3 linked regions of the Lonchura striata genome follow. The protein of the gene in region 3 interacts with the protein of the main gene of each other region in a biochemical or structural test. Links are inferred from orthologs where the notes say so. Each region holds a gene or a part of one and is shown on either strand. Other genes may lie near its edges.

Evidence for each region. The genes of interacting proteins can lie anywhere in the genome.
Region 1: the proteins of SIAH2 (region 3) and DLST form a complex in vitro, tested with the Homo sapiens proteins (2 studies listed by BioGRID, with this or other methods). The link is inferred for Lonchura striata from reciprocal best matches to the Homo sapiens genes SIAH2 and DLST.
Region 2: the proteins of SIAH2 (region 3) and EGLN3 form a complex in vitro, tested with the Homo sapiens proteins (2 studies listed by BioGRID). The link is inferred for Lonchura striata from reciprocal best matches to the Homo sapiens genes SIAH2 and EGLN3.

What each region holds. Positions count from the first base shown.
Region 1 is NC_134608.1:23,259,675-23,266,825, forward strand, and holds the start of DLST (dihydrolipoyllysine-residue succinyltransferase component of 2-oxoglutarate dehydrogenase complex, mitochondrial), read right to left. Parts: upstream 3,015-7,151; 5' UTR 2,981-3,014; coding exon 2,912-2,980; intron 1-2,911. Other genes in the region: PROX2 (prospero homeobox protein 2), read left to right, coding at 3,106-3,171, 6,872-7,151. UniProt on the Homo sapiens protein: Dihydrolipoamide succinyltransferase (E2) component of the 2-oxoglutarate dehydrogenase complex. The 2-oxoglutarate dehydrogenase complex catalyzes the overall conversion of 2-oxoglutarate to succinyl-CoA and CO(2).
Region 2 is NC_134608.1:25,775,624-25,783,639, reverse strand, and holds the start of EGLN3 (prolyl hydroxylase EGLN3), read right to left. Parts: upstream 3,015-8,016; 5' UTR 2,830-3,014; coding exon 2,473-2,829; intron 1-2,472. UniProt on the Homo sapiens protein: Prolyl hydroxylase that mediates hydroxylation of proline residues in target proteins, such as PKM, TELO2, ATF4 and HIF1A. Target proteins are preferentially recognized via a LXXLAP motif.
Region 3 is NC_134612.1:26,840,043-26,847,426, forward strand, and holds the start of SIAH2 (E3 ubiquitin-protein ligase SIAH2), read left to right. Parts: upstream 1-4,382; 5' UTR 4,383-4,413; coding exon 4,414-4,782; intron 4,783-5,372; coding exon 5,373-5,930; 3' UTR 5,931-7,384. Other genes in the region: MINDY4B (inactive ubiquitin carboxyl-terminal hydrolase MINDY-4B), read left to right, coding at 130-200, 357-426, 744-899, 977-1,157, 2,524-2,666. UniProt on the Homo sapiens protein: E3 ubiquitin-protein ligase that mediates ubiquitination and subsequent proteasomal degradation of target proteins.

The DNA.
Region 1 (7,151 bases), on a different chromosome or scaffold from region 3:
CCAGCTCTAAGCCAGGATCAGTAAGACAAACTCCAACTTAAGTGGGTCAGCCCTCCACTGGGTCAGCTCTCTAGAGCACCACAATCCTCAGCACTCTGTATTGATCATATTTTTCTCACTTTCTGTAGTGTCCAAGATAGCATAGAGTCAATCACAAATTGAGTATCAAGCAACCTGAGTTCCCCTCTATCCATTAATGTTTCCCTGGGTGCTTTATTAAAAAAAGTGGTTAAAGGCATTCCTAGAACACCAGACAATAAATTGTTAAGAAAGGAACAGCCTCAGACTGATGCAAAACCAGACAATTTTATTTGCTCAGGACCAGTTTACTGTGGAGATAAAACAAAAAAGAAAATTTAGAAGGTCTGTCCTAAAATAAATTGCTGGGAGAAAATACATCTGCAGCTCTCTTCCACCAGTGGTATCTGGTAGCAAAATTAAGGAAAAAATTGGTATCACTCTATCCTTTGCCTTTAAGGTTAAGAAATTAGGGGAAGGGCTTAATGTGAGGAGGAAGCCACTAATAAAAGATACTGTGATTTTTCTGAATTACATCCTGCAGAACTGCTGTGTGCCTATCTCTTAACCACAGTACCTCTGAGATAAACATGCAGCTTCAGGAGACACAGGACAGGGCTGCTTACAGGGCTGCTTCCTGTTCCATTTTTCCCTGAAGGAATCTTTCTGACTGCACCTCTTCCTGGATCACTTGGCTAAATCTGCCCTCTGCCTTCTACTGGAGCTTTTTCAGTGAGAATGGAAATATTTAAGTTTTGCTACGTGGCTTTGGCACTTTGGGTCAGTTTAAAAAGACAGGCTTCACTTGGGGAAAGAAATCTTGGTCTAATTAGCCAGTGACTCATGTAGCAAGTGATTAATATTTCCCTCTTGTTTCACATGACTTCTCAGAATCGTTTTTATAAGTGTTACTACGTCAAAGTGACCCTGGCATGCATGGTCCCAGGCCACACCTTTATGGAGCCATCACCTTCCAGTAGGTCACTACACACTGAAACAAAGGATGGAATACATCAGCTAAAGCGACAGCCTGTATACCAACAGCGAGGGACCAGTTCAGGTAAGGAATCTGATGAACGTGACAGTGCAGCTCATGTGAACAGAGGCAAACCAGAAGGCCAGTGCTGTGCAGCTCCAACAACAGGCAAAGCAGAAATTGGTTCTCCAGCCATGGCTTCTTGAGAGCAAAGCAGCTGCTGCTCTAACAAGGATGAGCACAAACTCCTGCTCCACACAAAAACCCCACTGCATGGCTTTCATGGGCATCAAAACAATTATATACAGCATGGGAGGGCAGGTGCCAAGATGGGATGGAGATCATGCTGAGTGGTGGACGCTGTTACTAAGACAACAGGCTCAGAACTCCTCCAGCATGAGGGGAGGATCAAACAGGGAAGAAAAAGTTCTTTATGAACTCCTGCCCATAAACAGAAGGATTTGATTCTCAAAGCACTTTACGCAGCTCCTGATCAAATCTATCTTTTCCAGACCAGCTCTTCTCTGGACTTTTTCACATAGCCTTCTACGTCTGCCTGCTCCTGCCCCAACTCTTATGTGCTACAAGCTATTGATACACATTCCTGGTTTCTACTTAATATGAATTCAGAACCTTTTCTTCTTTTACAGACAGCCAAAACCCAGCCAACCCTTCCTCACCCTCACTGACTCCACTCTTCCCCCGTTCAATCCTCCACTTCTGAATTTTGTATATGTCTACCATTCTCACTTCTGCCATCAGAGGTTTGCCAAGTTCTGGGATTTTTTTCTATCTCTCCAAAAAGCCTGTTTTACATAATAAAAATTTACTTCCCATATTGCTGTTCAAATGGAAAGCAAACTTCTACTATAACTCTTTCAGTATATCTAACAGGTTAACTAGCATTCAGCCTAAAACCTCCTGATTTTCAGACTAGTTTTGTAAAAGGTTTGAATACTCCATCTGACTTCTTCCCGTTCTTTATAATTACACAACACCACTGAGAGCTGACAAAGGTTAAATATTGCTAAAATGCCACTTTAATAGGCTTGTTTAAACTGCATTATAACCAATTTTTCTCTAATATATCTGTAACAAACTGTAACTATACAGTTACTTGTAAGTTGTTCATAACACAGTTTTACATGTATACACACAAAGGTGTCGGTACATTACAACTGGTTGTCAACGCTTGCCTACATTTACAGCATGTCTAAAACCAAGTCTCATGCTGGAAGGCTCCAGCTGGTCACTGGAAGAGAAGTGATCTTTCTCATGCCGTAGGTATGCACAAACATGTGTGTGCACATGAAGCTGAAATGGAAGGTGTGAGCAGCAGGACACAGGACCCGGCTGGCCAAGGGCAGCCCCAGGGTTAAGCAGCTGCTGGGCGCTGTCAGCCCACGCTGCAGCCAGCAGAGGCTACCACCGCCTGCCCTGAAAACCGAGCACAGGATTCAAACACCAAACCGCACGCCGGTTGTTGCCGGTCCCGCGCGGCGCGCCCCGGCCGGGGGTCTCTGCCAGCGCAGGCCGGTGGCTGCCAGCAGCGAGGCCTCAGATGCCGCTGACGGGCGGGCCGGCGGAGCCCGAGCGCGGCGCCGTTCGCGAGCCCTTCCCGCCAGCCCTTCCCGCCGCCCGGCTCTGCCGCTGCCGCGCCCTTCCCGCGGGGCCGGGCCTGCCCGCGGGGCAGCGGCACCCGCGGGGAACGGGCAGCGCCGCGCCACCGCGGCCCCCGCTGGGGGACAGCCTCGCCGGCCCTTCCCGTGCCCGGCCCTGCCGCGCCCCGGGGCGGCGGTGCGGAGCGCCCGGCAGCAGGGGACGCGTCCCGGTGCCCTTGGCGCCGCCGACCTCGCCCGCACGGCCGCCGCCCTCCCTCGCCGCCCGCTCCCCGCGGCCGCTGCCCGCGGGCCGTACCTGCCGGAGGGCGCGCAGCGAGCGGCCCAGCGCGCGGCCGAGGCAGCGGGACCGCCACAGCGGCACCATCGCGGCGGCGGCGGCGGCGGCGGGAGGGGCCGCAGGGCGGACACCGGAACCAGGCCCGGCGCGCGGCGGAAGCGCGGGGGGCCGGACCAACCGCCCCAGGACGGGGGGGCGGCCGGGGCGGGACCATGGCGGGCGGGGGCCGGGCCCGGGCCGGGGGCGAGGCTCTGCGCACGATATTCCTGTGTGTTACCGTGTGTGTAATAATACAGGTGTTAATGCGTCCTGTATGATATATATTAAATACTATTACTTATAGATCACATGCATATGAAATAGCTATGCATTACATATATTGATATAACCACGTATATGGATATATCGATGTTACGATATGTAATAGTATATGTGTAATAAATAACCTGTGCATTACGAAGAATGCCGTTTTGTGACGCTGTTCTTTGAAGCAGCTCTGGGTCACTGCGGGACAGCCGTACCCGTGGTTTGCCTGCCCACCTTGGCAAACCATGGGACTGTTCTCGTGTGGGGTGGTGTTGCCACAAGCATCACCCAGTGGGATGCCACAAGGTTAGAAACGGGCAATGAGGTCATCTCACCATGGCAAACAGGAAAATGAGTCCACAAGTAAGCCCTGTTCCTCAGGTGTGCTCTCTATGTTGAAAACATTTGAGAATTCCCCAGCTAGCTTCTGTTTTCTGCCTGCTCCCAGGCAGGGAACCACAGGTGGAAGAAAACCCAAGGAACCCATTTACAGATTCTGAGAATCAGCCTGGGATAGTTATAAAGGGCTGTCTGGCACCAGGTATCTCTCAAGGAGCCAAGTCTGGGTTATGCACATGTGCTTAATTTAGCCACTGCTTAATAATTTATGAATGGTTGACTGCAAACTTCGAAATATGAGATCATTTTCAAAGGAAAGAGGTTGAATAAAAATCAACAGGGGGTAGTCTCTGAGGCTTTGAGGATGAGCTGACTGCTCTAATAAATGATAACTGAGCCAGAAAGGCTCTCTGCCAGGGATTTCTCTATGATCTGTCTTTTGAAGGCTAATATCCTTGAACAATATTGACCACCTGATGTCAACTGCCTTTAACCACGGCCTCCTGCCTACACAGTGAATACACTAAGCACTGCTGTGCTCAGTTAGCATGTGGAAGCAAAGCAGATAAAGCCCCAGGAGTGGCATGCATGGCTAGACTTTGCCCACCCAACCCCAGCTCCTGCACGAGAAGTTTCTGCCAGCCACATGTGCTGCTGGGGCAGGTAGGTTTGTCCTGGGGCTGGGTCAGGACGTGCTCAGCTGGGAGTGATGCCAGCTCTGCTGGGCTCTCTGTAAAGCACCCTGCGACAAGCGAGGGACTCTGTGTTGCTGCTTTTCCTGTGTTGTCCCATTTCTTGGCCGTGTCCTGTGCTGCAGACCTCCAGGACAGCCAAATTGCCTCTGCGCCCCCAGAGTGCGGGATGTGGGAAATGCCTGGCCACTTTCCATGGAAGATGGGTAGCTGGTGGGATCTGGGCCAGCTCCTTCCTTGTGCTTGTGGCACTGCTTGTCAGCCTGGTGTATTTGCATGTCTCACCAACATTTCACTATCCTGAATGGGGCTTCCGGCCAGATTCCAGGGGAAAATTGCTGCTCTGGGCCTCTGCCCACCTGGGTAGCCAGCAGCTCGGCGCCCGATAGCCCTTGCCTGTCTGGCTCAGGGGCTATGAGTGCGGGAGCCAGCAGGGAAGGTGGCGTCGGACATCAGCTCCTGGGTGTCCATCTGCATATTCAGAAGTCGTTCCCAGCTGGTTGGCTGCCTCCAGCCTCCCACTCCCTCTTTAAGGCCCCAGGACGGACCGGCGCTGCCCCCGCGCACCGCGGGCACGGCGGCACACCGGGGATGGGCGGCGGGGACGGCTCGGGGGATCGCCGTCTGCACGGACAGCTCGCTGCTCTCGCTGCTCCGGGCTGCTGGCCCACCCAGGAGCGCCCAGGGAGCCCATGACGGGTGGCTTCAGTTCTGGACAAGGCACGCTGCCCTCGTCTTCTCAGCATCTGCGTTTCGTTCCTGTCTTTCTCTTCAGGTAGGAGGAGTCTCGGCTGCTTTTTAGTGTTCTGGAGGGTGGCACTAAGTGAAAGCTGTGAGTAAGAGTGGGAACCAAAGCACGCACCTGCTAACTCCGTGTGGAAAGAGCTGCATCAGCAGGCGCAGTTCGCTTAGGCAGCGCCTCCTGGTCCTGCGGTGCCGGGGATGCTGTGACCGGAGCCAAGGCCACGCACAGCGGGCTGCCATGGCTTGGGACAGCACGCCCGGCTCCCTCCCTCCCAGTCTCCAGAAAAAAGGCAGTGGTGCTGGAAACCTTAAGCAAGTAGAAGTCACCTTGCCAGCTCTGACTCGATCTGCTTGAAAGGGGTGTATCACCCAGGTTCCAGGGGGCTGGGAAGCCCCAGCCCAGGGGACAGGTAAGCTCCTGACTTTGCTGTTGAGCACAGCACATCACAACACACAGAGAGAAATTGTGAGCAAATGTCAAAAGAAGGTGTTTCTATAGAAAAACAAGTGAGATTACAGGACCACACCATTGAGGAAAGGATTAAGGTTGGATGGAATCTATAACTGTAATGTGTTTGCTGTGTGACTTTGTTGGGTGCAGATGGCAGGCTCAGAGGCAGCTGCAGGCAATGGTGAAATTTATAACACAAGGGCAAGGCAGGATGTTGAGAGCTGCTGGCATCCCAGCCTTGTGCTGCCTGTGGATAAACTGAGCAGTTTGAAATACTCTACAGCAGACTCTTAGGAAAATGAAACCCCAGTGGTCAGGACAGATGGGGAGACAACACAGATCAACATGTGGTGTCAGATAACCCAGAAAATACTTGGTTTGTCAAGACTATGGCTCTGCAAAAGGTAGAGCTCTCCCAGGCACCTGCCTGGAATTCATGGTTGTTTGAAGAAAGGCAACCTGCTGAAAACCCCTGAGAAGAAACCCATTTTCTACACTGCCTGGAGGACTTGGCACAGAGCAGTTACAGGGACAGGAGACTGATGGTGCTGAAAATGATGAGGCATTTCTGGGAATAGCAAAAGAATATCAGACTTTAAAGGTGTCTGGAAAAGACAAGAGCTGTCCTAATAAGTGGTGCAAAGCTACTGCTAATTAAGGTGGATAAGGAAGAAACATCCCACAGGGACAGTTACTGTGCAATTGACCAGGATACAATATTTTACACCTTCTTTTGCAAAGCTGTGCAAGTGGGGAATGAGCAGAGGGGGTGAATCTGTACTTGGAGCCAGTATGACAATTTTAAGCCTGGGGCTGCTGGCTCAGTATTTTTTCTCTTCCCTGATAATCCCCATCCTCATTTCTTTTATTCAGTGTTTAGCCAAGCACTTAGGAAGCCCATGTTGTATTAGCCTGAACATCTCGATGCATCCTGCTCACAGCAGGTCACATTGCACTTTTACCCTCTCTGTGCCCTCCTTCTCCAGCCTGTTTGTGCTGGCCCAGCCCCTAAGTGCTGCCACCCATCCCCGTGCTTGGGGGCTCTGCTGGCAAGTGTTGGGACCGTCAGAAGCCAGCAGGACCCATGGCCTAGCTGGCTGTGTGCTGTGAATGTCTTCACCAAGGATGCAGCCGCTCCTCTGTGCTCTGCCAACACCCAGGAGCAGCACCCAAACCCACCCCTTTGCCCAGGTGTACGTGGCAGAGGGCTCTGCCTGGTGCTCCCTGCCCTCATGCCAGAGCCCACAGGCCCAGAGGGCAGTTTCCCCAAATGCCTCTGGTGCAGATGCAGCTGGTGATGGGGGAAGTTTGTACTGCCAGGCACTGCCAGGCTCAAAGTAGGTGAAATGTACTCCAGACATGATGAATGCCTGGCTGGTAGGTGGGAGGTGTGGTGGTGCCCAGGGTGTTGCTGCTGTTGTGTGACATCTGACAGTCTGCCCACAGGTTTTGCAGTACCTGAAGGTTTCTTCCTGGTCATTCCCTGGTGAAATAGTTTTTGGAGGGGAGCATGGATGCCATGGAAATCTGGGAGAAAAAAAATCTCTGGCCCCGTGTTTGGGAAACTGCTGTATGAGGTCCTGTTTCTCGCTCTTTTTGCAGTTCCATATCACTAGCAGGCAGAAACATCAAACACCTGGGAAATCTGCCAGTCTGTCCAGGCAGGAAGAAAATATGATGGACAGCAGGACTGGCTTTGCGCAGGATAGAGACTGTGCCACTTCAG
Region 2 (8,016 bases), on a different chromosome or scaffold from region 3:
ACCTTTAAATAATGATGGGCTGATATGACATAAGTACATTTTCATGACAAATTTAGTTAACATGTACCTAAAGGCTTACATTTTAAACAAATTGTTCTGAGCTCTTAGTTCTGAGTAATATCTATATGCCAAAACAATAAATTACAACAGCACATGTCCCACAAAGCAGCTCTGGTCCAGTCACCCATGAACACCCCACATATCCACAAATCTTAAGCTGTGAAAGTTTTGTGGGCATTCATTTACATACATAATCCACCAGATAAAATAAAAATTTGCTGAATTTAAATTTGGGATTTGTGTGTATGCATTAATAAGACTTCAGATGATAAGCAGAATGGGAAGGTTTAATGGTAGAAGAGAGATGTCTTAAACCAATATGGGAACCTGCATGCACTGTAGTAATCAGTTGTTAGTCACAGGAATAATCTTTCTGCTGAAGGCATCCCATGTCTCAGTTACAGACAGCAGCTGCTATTCCAGGGCCTCACATACCCATGGTATTTATTATTATAACAAGGGGATTGGTTACTATACTGATGAAAATTTCTCTGCATTTGGTTTTGCAAACAATAGTGAGATATTGAGTCCCTTTCAGTCCTGGACTCTTGTGCAGCACTTCCATGTGCTGTTTGGATTCTGACAAATTTCACATTAAGTCACAAGAGCCAGAGGTCTCTCTTCATAGTAAATATCTTGCTACCTATTTATAAAACAAGTTATGTTCTATTTTTTATTACTATTTGTACAAGAATGCCTTCAAAAACACCAAAACGCTGTTTTAAAACCATCTCTACAACCCAAAACCACTGCCCAAAAGACCCTTCTTCCCAGCCAGCACCAACAGCCTTCATTCATCCAGATGATTTGTTTTCTAAATACCTCGTAAAAAGTCTGGACAGCCTCCTTTCACACCAATCCAGCTTTTAAATAACGCCCCTCAATATCCACCCCTGCGCACACACCCTTAGCCAGAAATGCACTTTCAGTAGTAAACAGAAATCACCCGGAGAAAGGATAAGGATGACCTTAAAGATGTGCCAAGGCAGGATGGTTATTTATGCCTCCTAATACAAGGCTCTCAACAGGAATAAGTAAAATCCAAACTACCCACATTTTTAAAACATACCTACCCAAGCTTTAACTGAATTGATGATCACTAATTCTAAAGAGCTAAGCATAAGGAACAATGTTTCAACTTTTACTATTCCCACTACCGTGTGTAAATGCATGGGGATGCATGCAAAGGTTTCAGTGTGTTCCCAAGCAACTGGTAAATATCACTGTACCTTTTTCATCATTTTTCAGGGGGGAATCACAATACCACTCACACACGCCCTTAGTCAGTGCAAGTTAGGATCAAGAGAAATGCCTAGCTTCTCCCTATTGTAATTTTTTAAAACTTTCATTGTTTTTGTTTCTGGCATATCTCTAACAGCAGCGGACCTTTTGAAAATGTACTGTGTCAAGTCAGAAATAAAGAAATAAGGATGTTTTCAGTATTCAGGACAACAAAGTAAACTTAGTTCCAAGTTAGTACACTTTGCCGTAGCAAAACAGACAAGGAAAGAAAAGACGAGTTAACTCCACACTAATGGCATTGCAAGTGCAAATAAACTTCATTGGGAAAGAAACTAATAATACAAGTGTCCCCTTCATTTCTGAGAAAGCCTAGAAAAAGCAATTTGTCTCTTTAAAACAAAAGTTTGCTGCGCTCAAACTACTAAACATCCCGTATTCTGGCCATACTCAATGCGGTAACGATAACCTCTTCAGCTGTAGAACGGCGACAAGAGTCGGAACCGCGAAACTATGCAGGATAATACATGGGCGAAAACATCTTAACAATCGGATCAGAGCTGGCTACGTTCCCAGGGAGAGTGTGGAGACCTTGCTCCCCCCCGAAATAGCCAAGGTTAGACGTTTTTGGTGGGGTACGCCCCTGTCCGCACCTGGGGTGAGCGCAAGGAGAACCGGGGTGCAGTCGGCTCCAGCCCCACTGCGAGAAGCAAGGAGCCCCCGGGACGGCTGCGAAGGGATGGCCGGTGTCACACAGGTGAAAAGGCAAGGGACTGGATGGGGTCCGGCAGCGGTAAAGCCCGGAGAAAACCCAACAAGGGGAGCTGCGAGGAGCCGCCCCGGAGCGCTGCTGGCACCGGCGGGGCGAGGGACCCGCAGGGAGCGGCCCCGCTTTCCGCGGGACCCCGCACCCGGCGGCAAGGGCTGGAGAGCGGCTGCCGTCACGGGAGTCCCTCGGGCAGCGCACCGCGCCTCCGCCACCCGGGCGGTGCTGCGGGACAGCCCCGCGGGACTGCCCGAGCCACGGGCACCCGCCGATAGCGCCGACGCGCCACGGACGAGTGCCCGTGGAAAGTTTGGGGCGGGTCCCGCCGGCAGCTGCGAGGCGGGTCGGGCCGGCTGGGAGCCCGTGCCGGCGGGCGGACGGGAGGTCGGGGCTCCGCGGACCCTTACCTTGGATCGCTCTTTCACGTAGTACTTGCCGAGCCGGCTCCCGCAGTACATCACCAGCCGGTCTATCAGAGTGAGGAGAAAGTTGATGGCCTCGCAGCCCTCCTCCGTGCCTCCGATCCACTTTATCTGGTCTCCGCGGAGATGCCGCTTGGCGACGCCGCGGCTGGGGCCGGCTAGCTGCCCGTCGGCCAGTTCCCCGTCGCGGTGCATCCGCTTCACCCGCTCCAGCACGCAGTCCCCCACCACCTCCCCCAAGAAGTTGTCCAGGTAGCAGAAGCCGATGTCGTGCAAGCAGGGCACGACGTACTCCAGGGCGATTCTCTCCAGGTCCAGCCTCATGATGTGTCCCAGCGGCATGGCGCGGCGGGGACGGGCGCGCCGCTGCTCTGCCGGCGCCCGCGCTGGGAGGCGATGCCCGTGGGGCCGCCGTCCGCTCCAGACCGAGCCGGGCAGGGGCTCCGCCGCGGCGCGAGGCCAGGCGAGGCGAGGTAAAACTTTGGCCGCTGCAGGCTCGGCTACGCACCGCGGCCCGGCGCTGCGGGAGCGGCGGTGCTGCCGAAGCCCCGCGCTGGCGCTCCTGCCGCTGGCGCCCCAGCAGTGCGCGGGAGCGCCCGGGGCGTGCGGGAAGGGCGCGGGCAGCCCCCGCCCGCGGCGAGGAGGGCGGCAGATGGCCCCGCGCTGATTAACGCGCCGGCTACGTGCGGGATGTGTGCTCGCGCCGCCGCACGTGGGCGGGGCCGCCCGGCGCGATCGCCCCGCCCGCTCCCGCCCGCGGCGGCCCGGGCGGCCAATCGCGCGGCGCGGGGCGGGGCCGGCCCGCGGGGAGCGCGCGGCGAGGGCTCCCGCACGTGCGCGGGGGGCGCGGCCCGCCGTCCCGCGCGCCCCCGGAGTGGGCGTGGGCAGCGCCATTGAGGAATTCTCGCCTGGCATGTCGGCTGCGACCCCCGCGCCTCGCCCTGCTCCGCCGCTCGGAGCTCTTGGAACGGTCCGGGTGAACTCTGCCAATGCCCCGCCGGGGCTCTCCGGCCGCCTTACCTCCGCCTACCGCGGCGGCAGTTTCAGCGCCAGACGGAACTGTTGCATTACGCGGCAGACACAGTTTTTCTGGCCGAAGAACGCACCTTTTACAAAAGGTTTACATAGCAAAACAGTACTTTCCCTTGAATTATTTATCCCCAAGGGCCCGCCAGGTTGCTTGGCTCCGGTAGCAGGCAACACCTCCCGGACCGTCGGCGGCTTCGTGCCGCGAGAGGACAGCTGCGGTCAAACCGTGACAAAATTCGTTCTAAACCAAAACTCGCCTTTCCCCCGCGTGCCCCTTGCCGGTAACACTGTCCCTGCAGCGGCCGGCCACGGAGTACGGTCCCGCGGCCGCTGTTGGGTCTGCTCGACAGCAGCACGCTTTCGCGTAAAATGCCTCCTGAGAGGCGAGCAGCAGACCTCCGCTCAGCTCCGTTCGCACACGCCCGGGATTTGCTAAACAAACGAGAGAAACCTCTACAGAAGCCAAAACCAAAGCAAAGTCACGTTGCGGAGAGGCGCTCCCTGCGGCCAAGCCGGGCGGGATAGGGCGGCCGTGCCCGGGTCGGTGCCTGTGAAGTTCCCGATGCCACAGAGACCCGCGGCCGTCCGTGTGCCGAGCGCGTCCGTCCTGCTCGGCGGCCCCGGCGCTGGCCCCGGCGGCCCCGGCGCTGGCCCCGGCGCTGGCCCCGGCGCTGGCCCCGGCGCTGGCCCCGGCGCTGGCCCCGGCGCTGGCCCCGGCGCTGGCCCCGGCGCTGGCCCCGGCGGCCCCGGCGCTGGCCCCGGCGCTGGCCCCGGCGGCCCCGCGGGCTCCGCGCCCACACGCGCACCCCTCCGCACCCCCACGGGCTGAGCTCCGGCCGGGAGCCCGCAGGGCGCGGCCCGTGGATGTGCCTGCCCGTGGCGGATGCGCCCCACGGAGCCCGCGCAGCGCCCGGCACAGCGGCACGGCACGGCACGGCACGGCACGGCACGGGACTGACACGGCTCCGGCTGGGAACCGGCACATTTCACCCCCAAAAAAGGCAAAATAGGTGCTGGTTCTTTTTTTCCCCTTCACGTCGCGAATGCTGACGGGATTACCAGCAGTCCATGCTGCTGATGCTGCTCGAGCTGCAACTCCAAGCCCCGGCATACGCAGGAGCGGGTCACGTATTCCACGTTTGTTCTCCTTGAATCCAGTGGTATCTACCCCTCAGTGCACAGCACTAAGCACAGGTCTAATCCTCTAAAGTTATTCCCTGACAGCTCTGTCGAGAGACCAGCAACATTATATCAGATAAATTCATATCTGGTGAGATATGAACTATCAAAGGACCTTATTTGATTTAGATACACACTTCACATTAAAGTGGGGTTATAATTAATAAGATACAATTATGAATCTTATTAATCCCTTAATGCTTATCTGAAAAATCAGTAATGTATGATAGGTTAAGAGCAGTTGTCATAATCAGGCAAGGGATGTAAGATTAGTTCAACTGCAAAGTATCAACGTTATGAAATTTGCATACATTAGGAAATATTGTTGATGCATTATTGTACTGTTTACACATTTTTATTATATAAAATAAAACCCTTTGATTTTCCCCCTTTTCTTGTTTACACACACATGCAAATATACAGTCCTGTACCAGAATCAAGTACTTGTAGATGCTGAACTTCCAGCCTTTCTATCAAGTGTAATGATGCCACTTGAACAAGTCAAGGACTAAGAGGGATGCCTTCTGGCAATAGCTGAAGTTGGTCTTTACAGCATTATTTCTCTTTTTTTGAAAGTTTGAAATTACGAGTTAGACTGATGCCAGATCTCCATCAGAAAAAGTCACCTTAGGGAGTTAGAGATTTGTCTTAGAAAACTGAGTCCACAGCCCCAGCTGCAGAGTGATGTTCACAGAGTTGTAAATACATTTGTTCCTCCAGCATTGATGTCATGTCTTCCTCAGGTGGGCATTCACTGCCATTTGCTGGCAAATCAGGTTTTCTGGTGGACAAAGTGTTTTGTCACTTGAAGCATGATGTGCTTTTCATACTAGCATTTTAAATAGCAGTCAGATGCATTACTGTTCCATATGAAGATAAAACATCAGGAGGAACAAGAGTACTGATTCTATTTATTAATTGGTTCTATTTTACTTCATCTCTTTGTCCCTTGATGAGGATGATAATGAAGGTGTGTGATAGAGTTTGTGATTGCTTAGGTTAGAACTTCTCCATGCATGCAGAGTGCGCTCGGGAACAGTTTTCATTCCTTCATTATAGTTTGTAACCTGAGCAGTCACAGGCTCTATCACACAGCTTGATCATCACCAAGAAAGCACAAATTTCTGCCTAGCCCACAGACACTCTTCAAGAGCTCTCTCATTCTCCTTAGGGGTAGCAAAGCTGAGTTGAGAGATGCTAGGCTGCAACTGTAGTAATTCCCAAGCTAAGACATTAATTTGACAATAAAAGGAAAAGCAGTCCTCAGTGTATACTACAGCGTGTTAGAACCACCCAGAAGAATAAAAGAGCTGGAACAGGACCAGACATTGTACCTCCCATAGCACTTCTTGTGACCACTCCACTGCTCTCCAAACAAAGCTATCACAGAGCATGTACAATCTAAGTGTTGCACAGGGCATAAACAAAGGACTGAGGGTGTGAAATCAGGCAATTCACATCATCTGTTCTTTTGGACATGCATAAAGTTTGTTTACAGTGCTGTGCATCTCAGGCATGAAAGGTGTCACCACACTTTAATTAAAAATCCTACATCATTCAATTATATATGGGCAATCCCTCTGCCATGTAAAGCTCTGTTTATCCTTACAGTGTATATTTTTTTCACTTCTAAAATTAATTCTGTGTTTTCTTATTTTCCATTTAATCTAATTTTGAAAACTTCTAACTTCTGAGTCCTGCATATCTGTTGCTTGCACTGCCAGCATAGCACACATTAGAGTTCAGTAGACTAAAACAGGACATTAGCAAGCTGGCAGAATGATTTTAAGGAGATTTGTTTTAGAGGATTAGAATAATTGGTGTCAGTCAAGCCTGGATATTAGTTATACACTAATGCTATTTTTTTGACAAGAGAATTTACAGATGAAATGCTTCACACTTTTTTAGAGCAGGGAGTTTTAAACATTTTGAGTCTTGTTTTCAGACTTTTCTGCTGGAAAGCCAGACTTCTTCAGTGCCAAGGGCTGAACTGCAAAAGCCCCAGCAAGAGCAAGTGAAGAGAATTCTTTATATCAGTGAGAAACTGTAAAACAGTATTCTTAATACCTCATAGCATAATTTGTAGAGCCAATGTCTCATGATCTAGTGAGAAAATAACTGAAGTTCTGCCTACAGAAGGTACTTTTCTGACAACGTTGGTGTGGTTATATAACCCCTCTGGCCAAGGAGCAGGTAGTGTTTGTACAGGGATGACACACCAGTGCTACCACACCTTGCCATGGCTTCCTAAGAGGTCACTAACCCCACCTGTCCTTCTCATCCCTCTGCTGCAGGTTTCAACCTCTCCTCCGCAGCACTGGCAGAAGAGAATGTGTTTCTGCCTCAGTCCCTTCAAAAGTGCAAAGTCCAGAGCCTTACATCCATCTTCACTGGAGGCTTAGTTTTACACAGAAATAGCTGAGGCATCACCAGCTGTACCATTCCTTTGCCTGCTGTGCTGGAATCAACTCCTGGCAGAACAGCTGTGTTTTGGTGTGATGTGTCCTCCAAATGCAGCCACAAGACTTGTCAGAGCTCCTTTGTCAGCACCTTTAATATTATGCCACAATGAGATCAGGAATGAGGGCAAAGGTGTCTGTCATGGCTTGAGTTGAGCTAACAACTCATTCAGCACCTCTCTTTGCACTTGCTTTGGCACACTTTGGACTCCTTGATGGCTGTTTTCCTTTTCTAAGGTGGCAGAAAAGCAATTTTGAGAAAAGAAAAAAAAAAAAAAGAGTCATTTGGGAAGTTATCTTAGGTCCAGTGAGTGTTGCCTTCAGATGAGAAGGTAAGGCGACCTGGTTTCAAGGGACAGCACGGCAGCCCAGCCTCGCCCGGGCCACTCGGACCACAGACATACCCAGACACCAATGTGGTGGATGGTCAAATGGCGTTTATTACCTTATCTCGTGAGGTTAAATAGTCAAGGGGGCTTTGCTACATCAAAGGAAGAAGGTAGGATCTCTAGGATTAGTAAGGAGTGGAAAACTACTGGGTTAGGTGGGGTTACGTGTCTTGGGGGTAATGGATTACATATCACAGGATGAGGAGGAAGGGTCTTGCTTTCTGTCACATCCCGAAATCTTCCATTCGCCTGTCCCTATCTACCACAAGTGAGATGCGCTGGAAGGATGGGAACCATTGGGACTGACCCCTTTGGGCATGAGTGAACAATCTGATGAACAAGAAGGAAGACCAGGTGTCTGGCTGAGGTGGTGACTCTGCCTCTCAGCTCTGCCCTGGTGAGACCCCACAAGGAGTGCTGGGTCCAGATCTGGGCTGGACCTCTCTTATGAAGACAGGCTGAGAGAGCTGGGA
Region 3 (7,384 bases):
GGAATAGCACCTTACTCATCTAACTCAACACGCACACCTAGGGCTGTATTTAAGCAGAAGAATTGTTTTAATTCAATATGATTTACTAGCCATAATTCCTTCCCTGTGATGCCTTATTTCTTTTTTCAGTTCAAAGGTGAAGGAAGCCATGGAGTGATCCTATTTTTATACAGTTTACTTTTCTCTAGGACACTTGAAAGGTATATTTTGCTTTTTAAACATTTTCCTGTAGTTTGATTGCATCTCCTGAAAAGCCTTTTCCTTTCCTCCCATCTCTCTTGGTCAGGAAGGGAGGTGCAGTGCTGCCTCTGCCACAAGCCCACTGCTGCCCTGATGATCTGTGCTTGGTCACACAGGGTCCAAGAGGATTTGGGTGACACAGCTCCTCTGCTGAACATCAGTTCTGGAAATGTCTCCTGTACAGAGGTAGGATCAGCCACATGTCTTAAGCATTTTTTCCAGTTTTACTAGTCCCATATCTGATTTAGGAAAAAAAATTACTTGTTAATTAATCCAAGCAAAAAGAAGCCTAAGTTCATAAAAAAAAATATTTTGCAATTTTAATCATGGCTGTGCACTTGAAAAACTGATGATGATGATAGTAGCAATAATTTTTAAAATGCCACTGGCAGCCTGGCATTCCCCAAAAGTTGTGCCAGACGTGGCAGAGCTGGGAGCAGGGCACCACGCGCCAGGGCCGTTACTCCGTGTCCCCGGGCTGTGCCCGGGCTGTGTCCCCGCAGGCCGTGCTCAGCCTGCTCCTGACGGGACGGGCGAGCCCGGAGCTCGGCGGCAGCCGGCAGCCGCAGCCCGGCGCCGCGGACGGGGGCGGCGCGGCCCCGTGGCAGCGGGGCCCGGTGGGCTTCCTGCGCTGGGAGCGGGCGCCGGTGGAGCGGCAGGTGAGCGCAGGGGCAGCCCCACGGCCAGCGGGACCCTCGGCACAGCCCGGGCTCCTGGCAAGCGTCCCCCTGGCCAGGTGAGCCCCGGGCTGCGGACGCCCCGGCTGCCCGTGTGGCTGTGCAGCGTCTCGGGCAGGCACAGCGTGCTCTTCGGCACCGACCGCCGGCTGATCTCCGACTGGAAATCCGAGAGAATTTTCCACCTGTACTTCTACACTGGGCAGCAGGAGCAGACCCAAACTGCCCACCTGACGATAGGTACGACCCAGACTTACCAGGGACTGAGGTATGGGCATCTCAGACTATCACAGACAACCCGTTCCTGCGCTAAATACTCAATACAAAGTTTAAACACACCAGGAAGCTGGACTGTTTCATGATTAATTCAAAATTTATAATAATATTCTCTCCAGCTGCTGGGGTGTTACCCCACCCAGCCCTCAAGCCCTGTGCAGCTGCTCACTCACTCCCCACCCGCAGGATCAGGGAGGGAGTTGGAAGGGTAGAAGTTAAAGAACTTGGCTGAGATAGAGACAGGGTAATAAGAAAAGCAAAAGCCACACACAAGCCAAGGAAAATAAGAATGAATTCACTTCCTCCACAGGCAGACAGGTGTTGCAGGGCCCCATCACATACAACAGTGGCTTGGGAAGACAAACACCACACTCAATAGTCCTTTCTCTTCCTTCTCCCCATTTCACATACTGAGCACGAGGTCATACGGTCTGGAATACCCCTTTGATCATTTTGGCTCCTCTGTCCTGGCTGTGTCTTCTCCCAGCCTGCCATGCACCCCCAACTTCCTCACCAGCGCAGCAGTAGGAGGAAGCAAAAAGGCCTTGGCTATGCCCAGCCATAACAAAATCACCTCTGTATAATCAACCCTGTGTTCAGCACAAATCCAAAACACAGCTCCATACCAGACGCTGAGAAGGCAATGAATTCTATCCCAGACAAAGCCTGCACACCAACACATGAGGCTGGCACGCAGCAGGGCCACCTGCCTGTCTGACTGAGGCTGAAGCGTGTCTTCCTGCTCAGCACCAGCTGCCACCATGGCCCTTGTGCTCCTCACCAAGTTTCATATCCTCCCAGGAGGGACAAACTGCTCCTGCAGCAATGCTTTGGTTGTGAACAAGGTTTTGTGCTTGGGGTGCAAGATTCTTGTTTCTCTGCTGCTGTGCAACACCTTCCTCACTGGGTGCCTCCTTCCTTACTCTCCTTTCACTGCAGCATTCAAAGCAAAGTCAGAACCTTGAAACTAAAGGGTAAATCTGCGGGGAAGCAGAGTGATTTGAGATCAACCCTCATGATACCTGGTGCAGCAGCCACAGACACTATCTGAGCATCTGCTCAGAAAAGCAGTATGCAAACACACCGTGCAAGCAGCCCAGAGCTGCACTTAGAGCACCGGAATTTCCCGGGGAAGCCCACGGTGCACGGTGCACGGGCAGTCCCCAGCCCCGGAGGCCCTGCTTACCCTCCCCCCGCTCCCTGGGGCAGAACGGCAGCACATCTACACCAATACAGCTGCAGAAGCTTCTGCTTTTAGCCGTCACTTTTTGAGTGGGGTTGGGTTTAAAGATTTTTTTTTTTAGACATTTATTTTTCATTTCCTCTTCAGACACTCATTCACATCACTGGGAAGAGGCTCAAAGAGAAGGCCCGTGCAGCCCAGGGAAGAGGCGCCCAGCCCTGGAGATGGCAATCAGGACCAAGTGGGCAGGTGCGACCGTCAGCTGGAACGGGACAGATCCCTTCTTCTGAGGAGTGAGCAGGATGGACCCCTGCTCCTGAAGGGTACTAGCATCTCCCACACTACCAACTGCACTGGTCACTGCAGTCTGGAGGACAAAAAGCTCTCTCCCAGGTCAAAAACCCTTTGGTGCATTGAAGGGACACCTGACTATAAGGCATCACACCCACTGCAAAAGTGTGCATTGCAGGAACAGTGACTTGCAACCCTGTCCCACTGCACGCCTTTTCCAGGTGGTAGGATGCAGGTTCTCCTGCTCCCAACAACAGCTGGCAGGGAAAGGAAAGAGTCAAGCCCTGGCACAGCCGCCCATGGCAGTGGTGGAATCTCCATCCCTGGAGGAGCTCAAAAGCTGTGCAGATGTGGGATTTGGGAACATGGTTTAGTGGTGGCCTTGGCAGTGCTGGGGTAATGGTTGGACTAGTTGGGTCTTAGAGGGCTTTTCCAACTCCAGCTGCTCTGGGGCTCTGTAATTCAGTGATTTTACTGCCTTTGCCAAATCCTGGCACCCTGCATTTGCCTGACAAGCATGGGTATGGCACATTGCTTCTAGCTCACAGAAACCACTGTCCACTTCCTTTTTCATTGTCATTACTCCAAAACCACCTGTAAGTCACACCCTTAATGTATTGCTAAAGTCAAATGAGAACAGTAAACCTTCCGCAAGCGATCCAGAAACTTGGTTCAGGTTTATTGAATTTTATAAAAAATAAAAAGAAGCCACGACACCCAGCCAGAGATTATGCTGGGCTGGGATGAGGAGATGCTGGTTACAGCTGGTGTGAGGTCTGCGACCCCACTGTGGAACCGCAGCTCAGCCCCAGCGCTGCAGTGCCCGGGCACCCACAGCTCCCGCGGCACCGGGAGAGGGGCCCAGGGCTGCGGGGGATGCACGGTCCCGCCGAGGGGCATGGTCCTGGTAAAGGGATACACTCCCGGTGAGGGGGCATGGTCCTGGTGAGGGGCTGGCAGGACACGGTCCCGCTGAGGGGACACGGTCCCTGTGAGGGGACACGGTCCCGCTGAGGGGACACGGTCCCGGTGGAGCGGCACTGTCCCGGTGAAGGAAGGGACACGGTCCCGGTGAGGGGACACGGTCCCGGTGAAGGGACACGGTCCCGGTGAAGGAAGGGACACGGTCCCGCTGAGGGGACACGGTCCCGGTGGAGCGGCACTGTCCCGGTGAAGGAAGGGACACGGTCCCGGTGAAGGGACACGGTCCCGGTGAAGGAAGGGACACGGTCCCGGTGAAGGGACACGGTCCCGCTGAGGGGACACGGTCCCGGTGAAGGAAGGGACACGGTCCCGGTGAAGGAAGGGACACGGTCCCGGTGAAGGGACACGGTCCCGGTGAAGGAAGGGACACGGTCCCGCTGAGGGGACACGGTCCCGGTGAAGGGACACGGTCCCGGTGAAGGAAGGGACACGGTCCCGCTGAGGGGACACGGTCCCGGTGAAGGAAGGGACACGGTCCCGGTGAAGGGACACGGTCCCGGTGAAGGAAGGGACACGGTCCCGCTGAGGGGACACGGTCCCGGTGAAGGAAGGGACACGGTCCCGCTGAGGGGACACACTCCCGCGCAGCGCGGGCGGGCCCGCGCGGGGCACGCCGGGAGCGGGGCGGGTGCCGCGCGCAGCCGCCGCTCGCCCCGCACCGCCCCGTCCATCCTCATCCTCCTCCTCCTCCTCCTCCTCCTCATCCTCCGCCTCCGCCCGCCTCCCAGCGCGGCCCGATGGTGGCGGTGGCGGCGAGGCGCGATGAGCCGCCCGTCCTCCGCCGGCCCCGGCCCTAGCAAGCCTTGCGGGAAGCAGCAGCAGCACGCCCCGTCCCCCGCCGCCGTCCTGCCGGGGACCGGCGGCGCTTCTCCGCCGCCTCCCCCTCCTCCTCCTCTTCCTCCCCCCCAGCAGCAGCAGCAGCAGCAGCAGGAGCTGACCTCGCTCTTCGAGTGCCCCATCTGCTTCGACTATATCCTGCCGCCCATCCTGCAGTGCCAGGCCGGGCACCTGGTGTGCAAGCAATGCCGGCAGCAGCTGAGCCTCTGTCCCACCTGCCGTGGCTCCCTCACCCCCAACATCAGGAACCTGGCCATGGAGAAGGTGGCCTCGGCCGTCCTCTTCCCGTGCAAGGTAAGGATGAGCGGCTGGGCAGGGGGACGGGAGGGCCACCCAGACCAGCCCCGATCCCTGTGCCCCTGCGGAAAACCCCCAGCCATCATCCCCATCCCTGTACTCCTGCAAAAAAAAACCCATCCCTGTACCTCTGCAGAAAACCCCCAGCCATCACCCCCACATCCATATCCCCAGACCACCCCCCTATATCCTCCTACAGAGGACACCCACCCACCATCCCAGTTGTTGAAACTAGAATCCTCTGTTCTTTTTAAAGAAAAGGAATATCCAAGCCAGGACCTCTCCAGCTGATCTGGACGGATCAGATCTAACTACTACAGCAGATCTAACAGCAACGCAGCCATACAACCCATTTTATCTAAGTGCTTGCATTAGGAAAAAACAACCTCAAAAGATGAGAAGAATCCATTTTAAGTGGAAACAAAAACTAAGTAAAGCTCAGCTTGAAGCCAGGGCTCCATACAATGTAAAGTTTGCAATGAGAATGAGAGCTCTGGTTGATCACCTGTGTTTCCAGTTGACGGGTGGGAGCAGCACATACTAGGGCTGATGCCTTTCCTGACAGCTTGTGTTTGGTCTCTTTCCAGTATGCCACAACAGGCTGCTCCCTGACCCTCCACCACACAGAAAAGCCAAAACATGAAGCCATCTGTGAGTACCGTCCCTACTCCTGCCCGTGCCCTGGTACCTCCTGTGACTGGGAGGGGTCCTTGGAAGCCGTGATGTCCCACCTCATGCATGCCCACAAAAGCATTACCACCCTTCAGGGAGAAGACATCATTTTCCTTGCCACAGACATTAACCTGCCAGGGGCAGTGGACTGGGTGATGATGCAGTCGTGCTTTGGTCACCACTTCATGCTGGTGCTGAAGAAACAGGAGAAGTGTGAAGGTCACCAGCAGTTTTTTGCCACCGTGCTGCTCATTGGCACCCGTAAGCAGGCAGAGAACTTTCAGTACAGACTGGAGCTGCACAGCAGCTGCCACCGACTGACCTGGGAGGCATCTCCCTGCTCCATCCACGACGGCGTGTCCATGGCCATCCGCAACAGCAACTGCCTCATTTTTGATACAGCTACTGCACACCTTTTTGCTGACAACGGAAACCTCGGCATCAACGTGACAATTTCCATGTGTTGCCCGTGATGCATTGCTAGCGAGACTCGAGCTGTCTGGATGTAGTGCTTCACTGGGTTTTGGTTTTGGTTCCCATTTTTTATGCTATTCAACTATGTCATCTTGTATGCTAAGGTTTCTGACTAGCCAACAACTGTAATTCTGGGCAGAAGAGGAACAACAGTATGCTGTAAGTAATGTGAGCAGGACAAGGTCTTTTAAAATTCTTGGGTGCCTTAGGAAGACTACACACAAGATTACACACCTTTTGTAATTTAATTATATTTTATGTAAAGAGTGCTTCCATTGGATATATGGCTTAAGAGGCTCCTGTTTGGAGCACACCTAAAAAGCCCTTTCATCAGCAGTACAGATTCTGTCTGATGCTGGTGAGCTTTAATAAAAGGCTTTAGTATCACAAGAGGGTTTGGTTTAGAAGAGACTATCATCTGTTCCAATCCTCCTGCCATGGCAGGGAGACCTTCCACTATCCCAGGCTGCTCCAGCCCCAGTGTCCAGCCTGGCCTTGGGCAGTGCCAGGGATCCAGGGGCAGCCACAGCTGCTCTGGGCACTTACACCAGGGCCTGCCCACCTTCCCAGGGAACAATTCCTGCCCAATATTCCATCTCACCCTATCCACTGGCAGTGGGAAGCCAGCCCCCCTTGTCCTGTCACTCCAGGCCCCTGTCCAAAGTCCCTCTCCAGCTCTCTTGTAGCACCATTAGGCCCTGGAAGGGACTCTAAGTTCTCATGATTTGCCCTTAGTGAAGCCATGTTGACTATCACCAATCACCTCCTTATTTTCCATGTGCCTTAGCATAGTTTCCAGGAGGATCTGCTCCAAACTCTTTCCAGGCACTGATGTGAGACCTGACAACCTGTAGTTCTCTGGATCTTCCTTTTTCCTCTTTCTAAAAAAAGACGGTTATGTTTCCCCTTTCGGAGTCAGTGGGAACTCCTCTGGATTCCAGAACTTCTCAAATGTGATGGATGATAGTGGCCAAGCCGCTTCCTCCACCAGTCCCTCTGAACCCACGGGTGCATTTTGTCAGGTCCCATGGACTTGTGCACCTTCAGGTCCCTTCGACCTCCTCGACCCCAGTCCTCTCCTGCTGCAGGCAGTTCTTTGCTCCCCCACTCTCTGCCTCTGCCTCCTGCAATTTGGGCAGAGTGGCTGGAGCAGTTTGCCACGAAGGCTGAGTCAGAAACGTGGCTGAGTACCTCAGCCCTCTCCAAGTCCCAGGGAACTGGTGTTCCCGTTTCCTTCCATAGAGGGTCCACATTGTCCCAGGTCTTCCTTTTATCACCAGTGTACCTATAGAGGTTGCTTTGCTTGTTGCCCTTGATGCCCCTGGCCAGATTTAAGTCTTTCAGGCTCTAGCAATCCTAACCTGACCCCTGGCTGCTCACAATCTTCCCTGGCTGCCTGTCCTGTCCTAGTAGGTGAAAAAGGAAGAAAATCCAAGTAACCTTTCACTGGAGC